2 linked regions of the Bombyx mori genome follow. The protein of the gene in region 1 binds, or shares a complex with, the protein of each later gene. Links are inferred from orthologs where the notes say so. Each region holds a gene or a part of one and is shown in the gene's direction. Other genes may lie near its edges.

Region 1 (5,582 bases):
ATGTATATTACCTACCTGTTGCAATTGTAAGGTATAATTTCGTAGATCTTCGGCCATAGTTATATATTAAATTCAATCAACCAGGCGACAAATGCTTAATTTGCTTGCTTGATAATTTATCGCTTCAACTTTTTACTGCTGTTGCTTCAATGCTTGTCATTGCTTGACATCAGACAAATCTGACAATCAGTGCTCTCAACTTTTTTTTATTTAAGGATTTTTATGACCTGGTAACTAACACTTTTAAGGCATGTCTTATTTTAATTTATAAACTTATTTTTATGAAAAATGTTGGACGTTTAAATTTGAGGGGATTGGGTTCTGTAGGTAATGAGGGGCTATTTAAAAAAACACTGCTTCATTATAATTATATTGCAGATAGTTTGAACACTGTTACACCATTATAAAATTATTATCTTTATATTTTTGTAAAACTCTTACATGTTGCTTTGACCATATCTAGATTAAAAGTACTGACTTTTTCTTACGAGAAGACAATCATCTGTTTATTAAGCATTTAAAATAATTCTAATATTCAAAATCTGTAATCATGTGTCAAGTGTTGCCTGCCATTACATTTATATTCAAACTCCAACTAAATGAGATAAACTTTCATTAAATTAACCTGTGTATAGCATAAATTATGTTTAAATGTTTGACCTAAAGGTCTTTGTTACTAGTTCATAAAATCCCTTAAAAAAATATTTAAATATCATATCTATGGCATAAACTTCTCGGGATCCTCCAAAAAGTCCACTGAAAAAATCTCAGTAAATGACCGCCATTTTACTGAGATCTCATTTCATTTCATGCCATGTTTCATAGATTAATCAACTTCAATTCATTTCATAGTATCATATTTCATAAAATAAAAAATACATATAAAAGATTACGCTGTGTGGTATGATACCTGTGCCTTTCCATTTGGAAAAATAAAACTACTACTAGCCCCGTGAGCTCACCTACTTCACCAGGTTTGAGCCCCGTGAGCTCACCTACTAAAGTTAGGGTTACGCTGACATAGCCAGGTGAATGAAGTTAGCCCCTCAAAAAAATATTTTTTTCCTATTTTATACTTATTTTCTATTAATTCGTTTGTTCATCATTTGTTCATGATTGTTCACTGTTAATAATTGTTTGTTCTGCATTTATTTATTTAAAAAAAAAAATTAAAAATATACCTACAAGTTAGCCCCTCTAATGCAATTTTTAATATTTTTCATCCTTAATGACTCGTAAATATTCATTTTCGATTGTTCTTATATAAAACACGTTTGTTCTCTTTCGAAGTTACTCGTTTTTTGTTTAATTTACTATTTTTATTAGTTGAATAAATGTATGCAAAATATGTGTACTGCGCATGCGTCAACTATAATGGCTAAACTTTCTACGCGGTTTTAGTCGTGAAAAAAAAACAAATATAAATCCTGAAGGAGCAATTAATTGGTATACAATTTAATTTAAAAAATTAAAAATAAAATAAATATAAATATGTAATAGTCGGATTTTTAATTAGACGAAGCCAGCTGACAGTAGCTAATGTCACTTTGTGAAATAATGTTGCTATATTTAAAGTAATAGTGATGCGTTCAGTTCTCGTTCAATCACATAAATGAACAATGAGTGTGAAGAGTTAATCATTAATTTCAAACTATAAAAGAATATTATTTATATTTTACAATAAAATTGTATTAAAGTGATCCAATATAATAATATGTTACTAGTAGTATGTAACTACAATCAGTTTTTTTTATTTTCATTACCTATGTACCTATAATTGTTATATTTTATACATCTATAGTTTCAACTATATGATGCATTGGAAATAGGACAGTCTTACAAGCTTCCTCGCAATGTTTTTCTTAATGTTTAAAACAGTCGGTATTCAGTACAGGTAGATACCATAGGAACATAATGTTTCGTCGAAAACTCGTTGGTATGTACAAAGCACGGCTAAAATTCGAACCCCGTGCCCGATATCGGCAGTTCGGCACACTAACTATTCACTAGACAATCGAGGCAATTTCATTAATTCAGGAGTTTTTTCAATCGTTCACTTTGTCACAACACTATTTTTATTTCATCAAAAACTGACAACACAGTAAACGTCAGTTTACTTCGTCTAATAAAAAATTAGTCGGATTTTTAATTAGACGAAGCCAGCTGACAGTAGCTAATGTCACTTTGTGAAATAATGTTGCTATATTTAAAGTAATAGTGATGCGTTCAGTTCTCGTTCAATCACATAAATGAACAATGAGTGTGAAGAGTTAATCATTAATTTCAAACTATAAAAGAATATTATTTATATTTTACAATAAAATTGTATTAAAGTGATCCAATATAATAATATGTTACTAGTAGTATGTAACTACAATCAGTTTTTTTTATTTTCATTACCTATGTACCTATAATTGTTATATTTTATACATCTATAGTTTCAACTATATGATGCATTGGAAATAGGACAGTCTTACAAGCTTCCTCGCAATGTTTTTCTTAATGTTTAAAACAGTCGGTATTCAGTACAGGTAGATACCATAGGAACATAATGTTTCGTCGAAAACTCGTTGGTATGTACAAAGCACGGCTAAAATTCGAACCCCGTGCCCGATATCGGCAGTTCGGCACACTAACTATTCACTAGACAATCGAGGCAATTTCATTAATTCAGGAGTTTTTTCAATCGTTCACTTTGTCACAACACTATTTTTATTTCATCAAAAACTGACAACACAGTAAACGTCAGTTTACTTCGTCTAATAAAAAATCCGACTATAGGTACAAACTAGACGTGCGCTAATCATGTTCGGAACTGGATTGAACATGACATCGTTCTTTTGAGTGTCGGAACTAGTTCCAGTAAACATGTTCGCGGAACTGTTTAGTTTCACGAACATGTTAAGTCTAGTAGCTGTTTGTAGTTTGTAGCTGTTTAGTTCCGCGGACATATTAAGTCTAGTAGCTGTTTGAAGCTGTTTAGTTCCGCGGACATGTTAAGTCTAGTAGCTGTTTGTAGTGTAGCGAATCACGTATTAAGTTATTATTAATTACACAATATTTTTCAAAAAAGGTATTAAAAATACAATTTTTTAAAAGCACTATATAAAAATAGATTGCCGCTTATGGCAATTATTATTGTAATTATTATTTTGTAAGGTTTTTAGTTTTAGGTTCATTGTTACAGCTGGTTGCATAATTTATTAATGTACTGTAATTACTTTGTCATAATTTCAACTACTCTACTACTTTCATTATTTTTCAATGTAGGTATTGTACGATGCACCGGAAACTATAACCTATCAGTTGTTAATTAAAATACCACGTTATTCTGATATACAACGTAAATTAAGCTCGTTGTAGCCTTACAACCTTTTTCCCATAACCGAGATACCGAATAGCGAAAGTGGTGAATGTTTTAAAATTCTCGAATTTTGAATTATGATTTTCTAAGAAATGGTCCACAAACACTTAAGGTTAAGTGCTCGTAGGAATGATGCATGGTCAAGGTCAAAATCCATAGCAAAACATTTTAATTTATTCAACTATCGACTGTAACACGTAGGTCGTAGAGCATAACTTCAATATTAATAAAAATGTAATATGAAAGAGCTCCACACGCAGTTTCATGCACTCGCTCCATCTCACTCTCTCGTATTCGTGCCATATGTCGCCTTATCTCTTTACGTGGACTCGTGTCGTTTCGAGACTCGTTCGGGTGGACTCGCCGCGCCACGCCTCCGCGCCGCGCGGTACCTATGCTCTAATCATGTCCGCATGTCCGTCATGTTCAACGCGTTCGTAGTTCCTGCATAACAGTACACTTGGAATGGAAATGGAACTGTCTGAACATGTTAATTTTGACAACTCGGATTGAATGATATAGTTCCATATGAGGACATAGTTCCAGGAACTATTTAGGTCCGGAACTACGCATGTCTAGTACAAACCTTATTAACTCCATGGTACAAACCAATTCATTTTTCATAATAGTAAAAATTAAAATGTTGTTTAGTTTGAAAAAAAAGGTTTTTTTCATATTTAATGAATATTAGTTGTTTTAACTTTGATAATCAAGGGCCTCAGCATCATAAATTTGTTGTTTGTTTAAAGCTGTACGTGTACCTTTTCCGATTAATCTTTATTTCCGTGTAAACACGAATAAAAACACATAGTTATAAGCAGTAGCAATTGTTTTGATCAAATCTAATAAATATTATATTTTATAGAAGTTGAGTGCAACTTAATATACAACCATGCCTAGTCAGTATGAGGAAGAACGTGTATGGGATGGTCAGAATCATAATAATCAATATGAAGTAAGTTAATAATTTAATTGGTGCTAATAGGTATTTTTTTTAATATAGTGACTTATTACAATTTTAAAGTAAATACATTTTATGAATATAAACTGATTTTAAAAACTCATCATTTGTTTAATAAATCTGATGCTGAACAATATTTATATTATTCCATAAAAAACAAATTCTGTTAATTAAAACTTAGAAAAAAACAAGATTTATGTTTTGTTTCCCTGACTACCTAATTCTCTTACATCTATATATCCATTATCTGTTTTAAAAGTAGCATTTTATCTTTTTACTAATTTAAATGAATATTTATATTATTTTACCAATCCTTGTCATACCATTGAAGAGTGGTTAATATGATTAAAATAAAAGTTACAACCTGAACAAATGTAATTAATCCTTAGCCAAACAGAGTAACATTAAGAACACAAACTGAAACCTTAACACGAACTGAGAACAGGCAATTCATAATTTCATTGATGTTATTAATCAAAATAAGTACTTACAAATAATTACTCCAACGCATTTTGTTGTGATATGTAGTTTGATTTATTAAACTGGTAAATAACATTTATTAGGAAGAAGGAAATGAAGATGTTATTGAGAACCCTGAAGAGGTATTAAATGAATGTCTGGAAAAATTTAAAACTCCAGACTACATTATGGAACCTGGTATTTTTGGTCAGCTTAAAAGATACTTCCAAGCTGGTGGAAATCCAGAGCAAGTTATTGAACAACTGTCAATGAATTACAATGCTGTAGCTCAGATGGCCAACTTATTAGCTGAATGGCTTATCCTTGGAGGTAATTATTATATTTGATATAGGAAATAATGTTTATTTCTTCCATTTTACCGAATTATTTAGTTAGTTGTTACCATTCTACAGTACAGTAAAAGCTCTTTATTTGCAGGTATATTTTACATAAATATGGAGCAAATACAGATACAGTGAATAGGGAATGGTAGATTATATGGGAGTATAGGGGATATGTTATATATGGTTATGGATACACAGTATTCATGTGGGAACCCACATTATGGTGTATATTAACTGCTTAACTTCAGATAAGAGCTGTTCTGTCTGAATTAGTAAAAAAAAATTAGGATACACTGAGTGAGCTACAAGTATAACTTTGAGCGAGTAAGCCAGAATTGTACATTTTGAGTGAGAAAACCAGATGTGTACATTATGCCCGCTTACCTCGACTTTCTTCTCTGTTTTATTTCTTGGAAAGTTGAAATCGACTCAAAACTGATTGCGTTATTTTACT
Region 2 (5,401 bases), on another chromosome or scaffold:
CTTTGCACATAACAATATACTTACTTCCTATTAAAGTATAAATTCTACAAATAATTAATACTCAACAATATTTAAAAAAAAATGAGCCAAGAACGTTTATCGATAAAACCTAATAGCATTAAAATCTTCTGAACAGCACTAAAACCGCCATGCTTAGCGGCCAGATGACGTCACAGTGTCACGCAATGGGCACGCATTTTTGGAGTTTACTCCTTTAGAATCGATTTACATATATAGGCCCGGGGTATGAAAATTATGGGGACCAAAATCGTACTAGCATGTCACACGAAATGCGTTATGCGCCTGATTGCGCATGTCACACGAAATGCGTTATCGCAGGTGACGCCGGGCTGCTGCGCCGGCAGTCCGCCACAAAGCCTCGTACTGATCGCGCGTTTCTCTCATTATTGTATTTTCATATATTTGTTAGTCGTTTGTTTTGTGTCTCGTTAATTTGTTAATAATCTGTAGTGTATCGTGTTGTCGTAATATAGAACTATTTCTCGTATTGTTTCGTTTAATTTTTTATATCCAGTAAACTCCAGTCGTGCGTCGGAGCGGACACACACACTTTTTTTGTTGACGTTTCATTTCCATAGGCTTCATACTTCAGTGCAATCATAGACCTTTAAAGTACTACTTCAGTGAGTGCAATAGACATCGTGATCCCGCCAAAAAGTTATGACATAAATTTTGATCCATACATTCGTTTTGAATTTTGAAATTTAAAAGGAATGAAGTATATAAAGTAGTGAATATCTTTACGCGCTCACTAAATTAGAGACGAATTAAATTAGAAATATTTCAACTGTTTTTAAGAATCTCAGAAGACATCGATTTCGTCAAATCCCCCTATAATTGTACAATTTCGTAATGTTTAACAGTTAACGGGAACGCGAGGAGTGAGGTTGTGTGAATTAATTATTTTTTATTTATTTTATGTTTAATGTGAGAAAATGAAACAAAGCTGCTGGACATGGCTAGTCGGGTTTTTCCAAAAAGTCCACTGAAGTTTTAGTAAATAACCAACATTTTACTGAGCCTTTATTTCATCGTGTCTCATCTCGTTTCATTACATGTCATCCCGATTGATACCAGTCTTATTTAATTTTATCTTATTTCGCTCTATCCTTTAACATGCTACAGAATATGCGTTTAATAATTGAAGATTTTTATAAACTCGGCATTAGTTACAATGACATCTTAAAAGTCGAAGAAGAAGAAGAAACAGTTCATAACCCACCCCTAATACACAAATAAGCTTAAAGACTAATTAAAACAATGTAGGTACATAAAGATCTAAAGTTCTCGCATTCCAACCTAAAAACCCCGCTTTATAATGTTTCATTTAATAACGATTTTCGTATCCAATCGATTTTTTTATTTCAATTGTCAAATTGCGTAGGACAGACTTTACTGATATAGTCCAATCTTCTAAATTAAAATTAAAATGGAAAGGAAAATACGAAAATGAAGATGGGATTAAGTTTATTGAAATTAAATTAAGATAGATTTACGAAGAAGTAAATTTAGTAAGTAGGCTATTTTATTGGTGGTACAGCGTACTACCGGTAAAAACCACCGCTTAGCCTATTTTGCAGCAGCGTGTTCCTATTCCGGGTAAAGCACGTCAAATTTAAGCTTAGCTTAACTTCTAAACTATTTTGGCCTAATTTCAATATGTTTCGATATGTTTGGTTTGCTGGACGACAATCAATTGGTAAAATCGATTTTTATAAAAATGAAATCGATTTTCTATAGTTGCAGCTGGAACATCCACAACACGTCACTATCTCAGTTACAAGATGGCGAACGTGCGGGATAGTGACATATCTTTGTGGCTCCACAATAAACTCGGTACATCGAACGATTCTTGGACAAGTGGCTCGATTTGTTCACAATTAAACGCTGAAGTATTAAAGAATATAAAAGACTGTTTTCCAGAATTACAACCGCAAGTGAAATTGAAATTATTACTAAGTTTCTTTCATATCCCGCGCAGAAATGTTGAAGAGGTATAACTTTTCAATTTGATGTTCGGATTTGCGTAACTGTTTAGTGTCGTGTCACTTTCTGTCACCCTGAAAAGTGATACGTGCGAGTGAGATGCCTAAATGTCAAGTATTTATTTGTTGTCGTAATGAATTTACATGTTGGATTTTACTGAAAAATATTTTTGAAAGGGTATTGTTTAAATTAAAATGAACAAATTTATTTCCGTATGACTATTTAATCACTGGGTAGTTTTCTATATTCATTTATAAAAGTTACAAAAATATGTTAAATGTGACATTCGAAATTAAACACATAAAAATCATGTTTGTTGCAAAATATTCAAGCTATGTTACACTATAAAATTCAACATGATAAATAACACGTTCTTAGTGATATGCCATGTCATTTTTTTAAATTGCAGTGACATAAAAATATTGAACACTAAATACCCAGACTACATTAATGCAATATGTGTTCCTGATATAATTTGCAAATTTTTTACTAAAATCATTAGTAAATAGTGTTTTTAAGTATTGAATTGAGCAAATTAAAACAAATGCAACAGTTTGTAATATCATTCTTACAATTTAATGCTTCTGTTGGTTCTATTTAATTCTTAAAATATTAATGGTAGTGTTTTTAAAAAGGCTGAGTAGCAAATAAAATGACATGAGCTATAGTCATATTCTGTTAAGGAAAAAGGATACTAGAAAATCTATTACAATTTATTACAATCTACTTTGTGCTTTAAGATGAGTCAAGCAAGATGCTGGTTATTGTTAAAAGGTGGCCAGGCTCCATAAATTGTACAGTTAGAGCTTAACTGTAACAACGTAAACACAAAAACGTGTTTAAAATTCAGATATAATTTGAAATAATTCCTCTAATACTGTTTGCTGAAATTATATTAGTCACTTAGTAAAATGCTGTGGAAGTTAAAGTTTCTTAATTTTCAACTTATTATATGCTACACTATGCTGAATACAACATATTGTAGCTATAATAAGCATAGCTAATAAGCTATTAATGGAAATATTACATTATATCTGAAAACAGCTTTAAAAGAAATATTAAGAGTTTTGGCTCAGTAAAAAATTTGGTATGTTTGATTTATATCAAGTTAATGGTTATTAAAGTAGGTACATCTACTTTAGCAGAAAGAGAGAACAGTTACTTTTATTTGCTGGGAATTGAATCATTGCCACAAAATTGCTAGAAAGAATTTAAATGGCTTAATGTTTGTTTGAGCCAACTGAGTCTTTTCTGCAAAACTACATGTAGTTTTCAAATCATATTCCTGTTTCTCGCTTGCTTCAAAACACCAGAATATCATCTTAAAACTGTATTCTAATACCAGTGGAAAAGTGAACTCGAGGAGATCCTTGAAGTTGCTGCAATGGATTCAGACCTCTGGGTGGCGATGCTTGCTGAAGTCCTCAAAACGTACCCCTCAGCTGGCACCCTTAATACAGAGATAGCAGAGTTTGATGAGACAAGACCAATATTTAGTGATATGATTGGAGAGTTAAGGAGAGCTTTAGCCAAACATTCGGATCTAGGATTATTACCGCTGGAGTGCCTGTATTTAAATAAGAATGCTTTAGTATCTGTGGTAAGTTTTATTGTGTTATTTTTTTCCATTATTTTATTATCTATATATATAAAAATGAGTTGCCGTTCGTTGGTTTCGCTAAAACTCGAGAACGGCTTGACCGATTTAGCTAAATTTGGTCTTGAATTATTTGTGGAAGTCCAGAGAAGGTTTAAAAGGTAGCTAGATATGAAAATGCTCGGAATTAAATAAAAATAACAATTTTGCTTTTCCTTTGATGGGTCCCCAGTCGGAAGGATTCCTTTTGTTTGTGTAAAGTTTATTTTATACAAAAAATTTAGGTCCTTTATTTATCGATTGAGGCACTACGAAGTCTGCCGGGTCAGCTAGTTATTATTATATGTAATTACATATTTGTGTCAATTAAAATTACCTATTTAAGTAATTAAATCATATGAAATATATGATAATTCAAAAATTCATTCTATAAAGCTAGAATGAATTTTTTTTATGCTGTTGTTTTTATCAATAATTTCTACCATGAAGAAATAACATTGTATTGTGACTTTAAATACTTTTCTGTCTATTATTGGGTCATAGCAATCATATATTCCAAGTTAAACGAAAATATTGCAATAAAATTGATTTAAAAAAATATATGTCCTTTCCAAAGAACTTTTTAAGTTGGAGCTGGCACCCTTCTATGAATGCTTACAGGTTGGCCAACAAACAAATCCGATAAAACATTTTACACTGAAACGGAAACCTAAATCGGCATCGCTCAGAAGCGAGCTCCTTGCCAAAGCTACAGAGGTTCAGGCAAATCAGAAGAAAGCTCAAGCTCCTACCGTACCAATACGTAGCAGAGGAATGCCTCGGAAAATGACAGATACTAGTAAGTCTTGTTATTAATAAAGTAGCAACTTTAAGATTCAATTGTAAACATTAAAAGCTTACAACAATTGTAGTTTTCTTGCTGGTATAAGCTGTCTTGTAAAGTTCTGTAAAAGTGCATAAATGTGGGAAAATCAAACAAAGCCGCTGAACGTAACTTCTCGGGATCCTCCAAAAAGTCCACTGAAAAAGTCTCAGTAAATGACCACCAATTTACTGAGATTATCTTTCATCCCATATCATTTCATTTCATAATATCATTTTTCATATAAAAAAAAGTTTTCATTAAAATTTAAATAAGACTTGACCTAAAGGTCTTAGTTACCAGGTCATTGAATCCCTTTAAAAAAACAAATGTATGCCGTGTGTGTCCAGCTCCCCTGAAGGGTTTGCCGTCGTTGGGCGCGGGTCGTGCGGCCATGCGCGCGGGCGGCACGGGCTGGCGCTCGCAGCGTCCCGGCATCAAACTCCTCGACATCGCCGACCAGCCTGCCACGCATGCGCAGATCAAGAAACGAAGAAAACTCGGTAACATATCGGTCATATCACAAACCGTCTCGCTGCTCTTTCGATTCTATCTATCTCTTGGCTTAATGGCGTTTCCTTTTAGATTTCACTAATGTCAAGTGTATATTATTATAATACTATGTTTTTTAAAGCGGGCTTCGTGAACGAACAAAGTCACAGATTGTAACTAAGAATTAAGTGAGTAGCTAAGATGCTAATATTTGAAGCTAAGATGCTAATGCTTAGCTAATGTTTGATGACAGAATCGCTGTTGTGTACCTACCTAAAATAAATAAGACGCACACAATATAACAATATATATAATGGTTAGTTGGTTAAAAGACAGACAAACTACAGCTTAATACCATTATGGTTAATGAATGAACTAAGAATATAAACGAAAGGGGAGTTGACAAGGGAAAGAAGAGATTTGAGATCAATGGCTCTTTGGAT

Evidence for each region. The genes of interacting proteins can lie anywhere in the genome.
Region 2: the proteins of negative elongation factor D (region 1) and negative elongation factor A are in contact, whole or in part, in a crystal structure (PDB 5L3X), measured with the Homo sapiens proteins. The link is inferred for Bombyx mori from reciprocal best matches to the Homo sapiens genes NELFCD and NELFA. Residues at the interface, in XP_047296144.1 of Homo sapiens: Cys204, Gln205, Gln206, Leu207, Glu208, Phe210, Ser211, Leu214, Arg215, Leu218, Ala219, Ile221, Leu222, Asp223, Gly225, Glu226, Cys241, His242, Gly243, Glu244, His245, Thr246, Tyr247, Leu248, Phe249, Ala252, Met253, Ser255, Val256, Leu257; in NP_005654.4 of Homo sapiens: Leu23, Trp24, Ala25, Leu54, Leu58, Leu61, His62, Arg65, Pro88, Trp89, Met92, Val93, Ile96, Leu97, Phe100, Gly104, Ser105, Leu106, Leu108, Leu110, Asn116, Val117, Asp119, Ile120, Leu121, Glu123, Leu124, Arg125, Lys127, Val128.

The regions. Positions count from the first base shown.
Region 1 is NC_085111.1:9,518,868-9,524,449, forward strand, and holds the start of negative elongation factor D, read left to right. Parts: upstream 1-2,159; 5' UTR 2,160-2,781; intron 2,782-2,810; exon of another isoform or gene 2,811-3,073; intron 3,074-3,098; exon of another isoform or gene 3,099-4,115; intron 4,116-4,229; 5' UTR 4,230-4,256; coding exon 4,257-4,319; intron 4,320-4,888; coding exon 4,889-5,114; intron 5,115-5,582. Other genes in the region: survival of motor neuron-related-splicing factor 30, read right to left, coding at 16-57. UniProt on the Homo sapiens protein: Essential component of the NELF complex, a complex that negatively regulates the elongation of transcription by RNA polymerase II.
Region 2 is NC_085132.1:9,764,209-9,769,609, reverse strand, and holds the start of negative elongation factor A, read left to right. Parts: upstream 1-1,798; 5' UTR 1,799-1,805; coding exon 1,806-2,015; intron 2,016-3,352; coding exon 3,353-3,607; intron 3,608-4,264; coding exon 4,265-4,442; intron 4,443-4,816; coding exon 4,817-4,969; intron 4,970-5,401. UniProt on the Homo sapiens protein: Essential component of the NELF complex, a complex that negatively regulates the elongation of transcription by RNA polymerase II.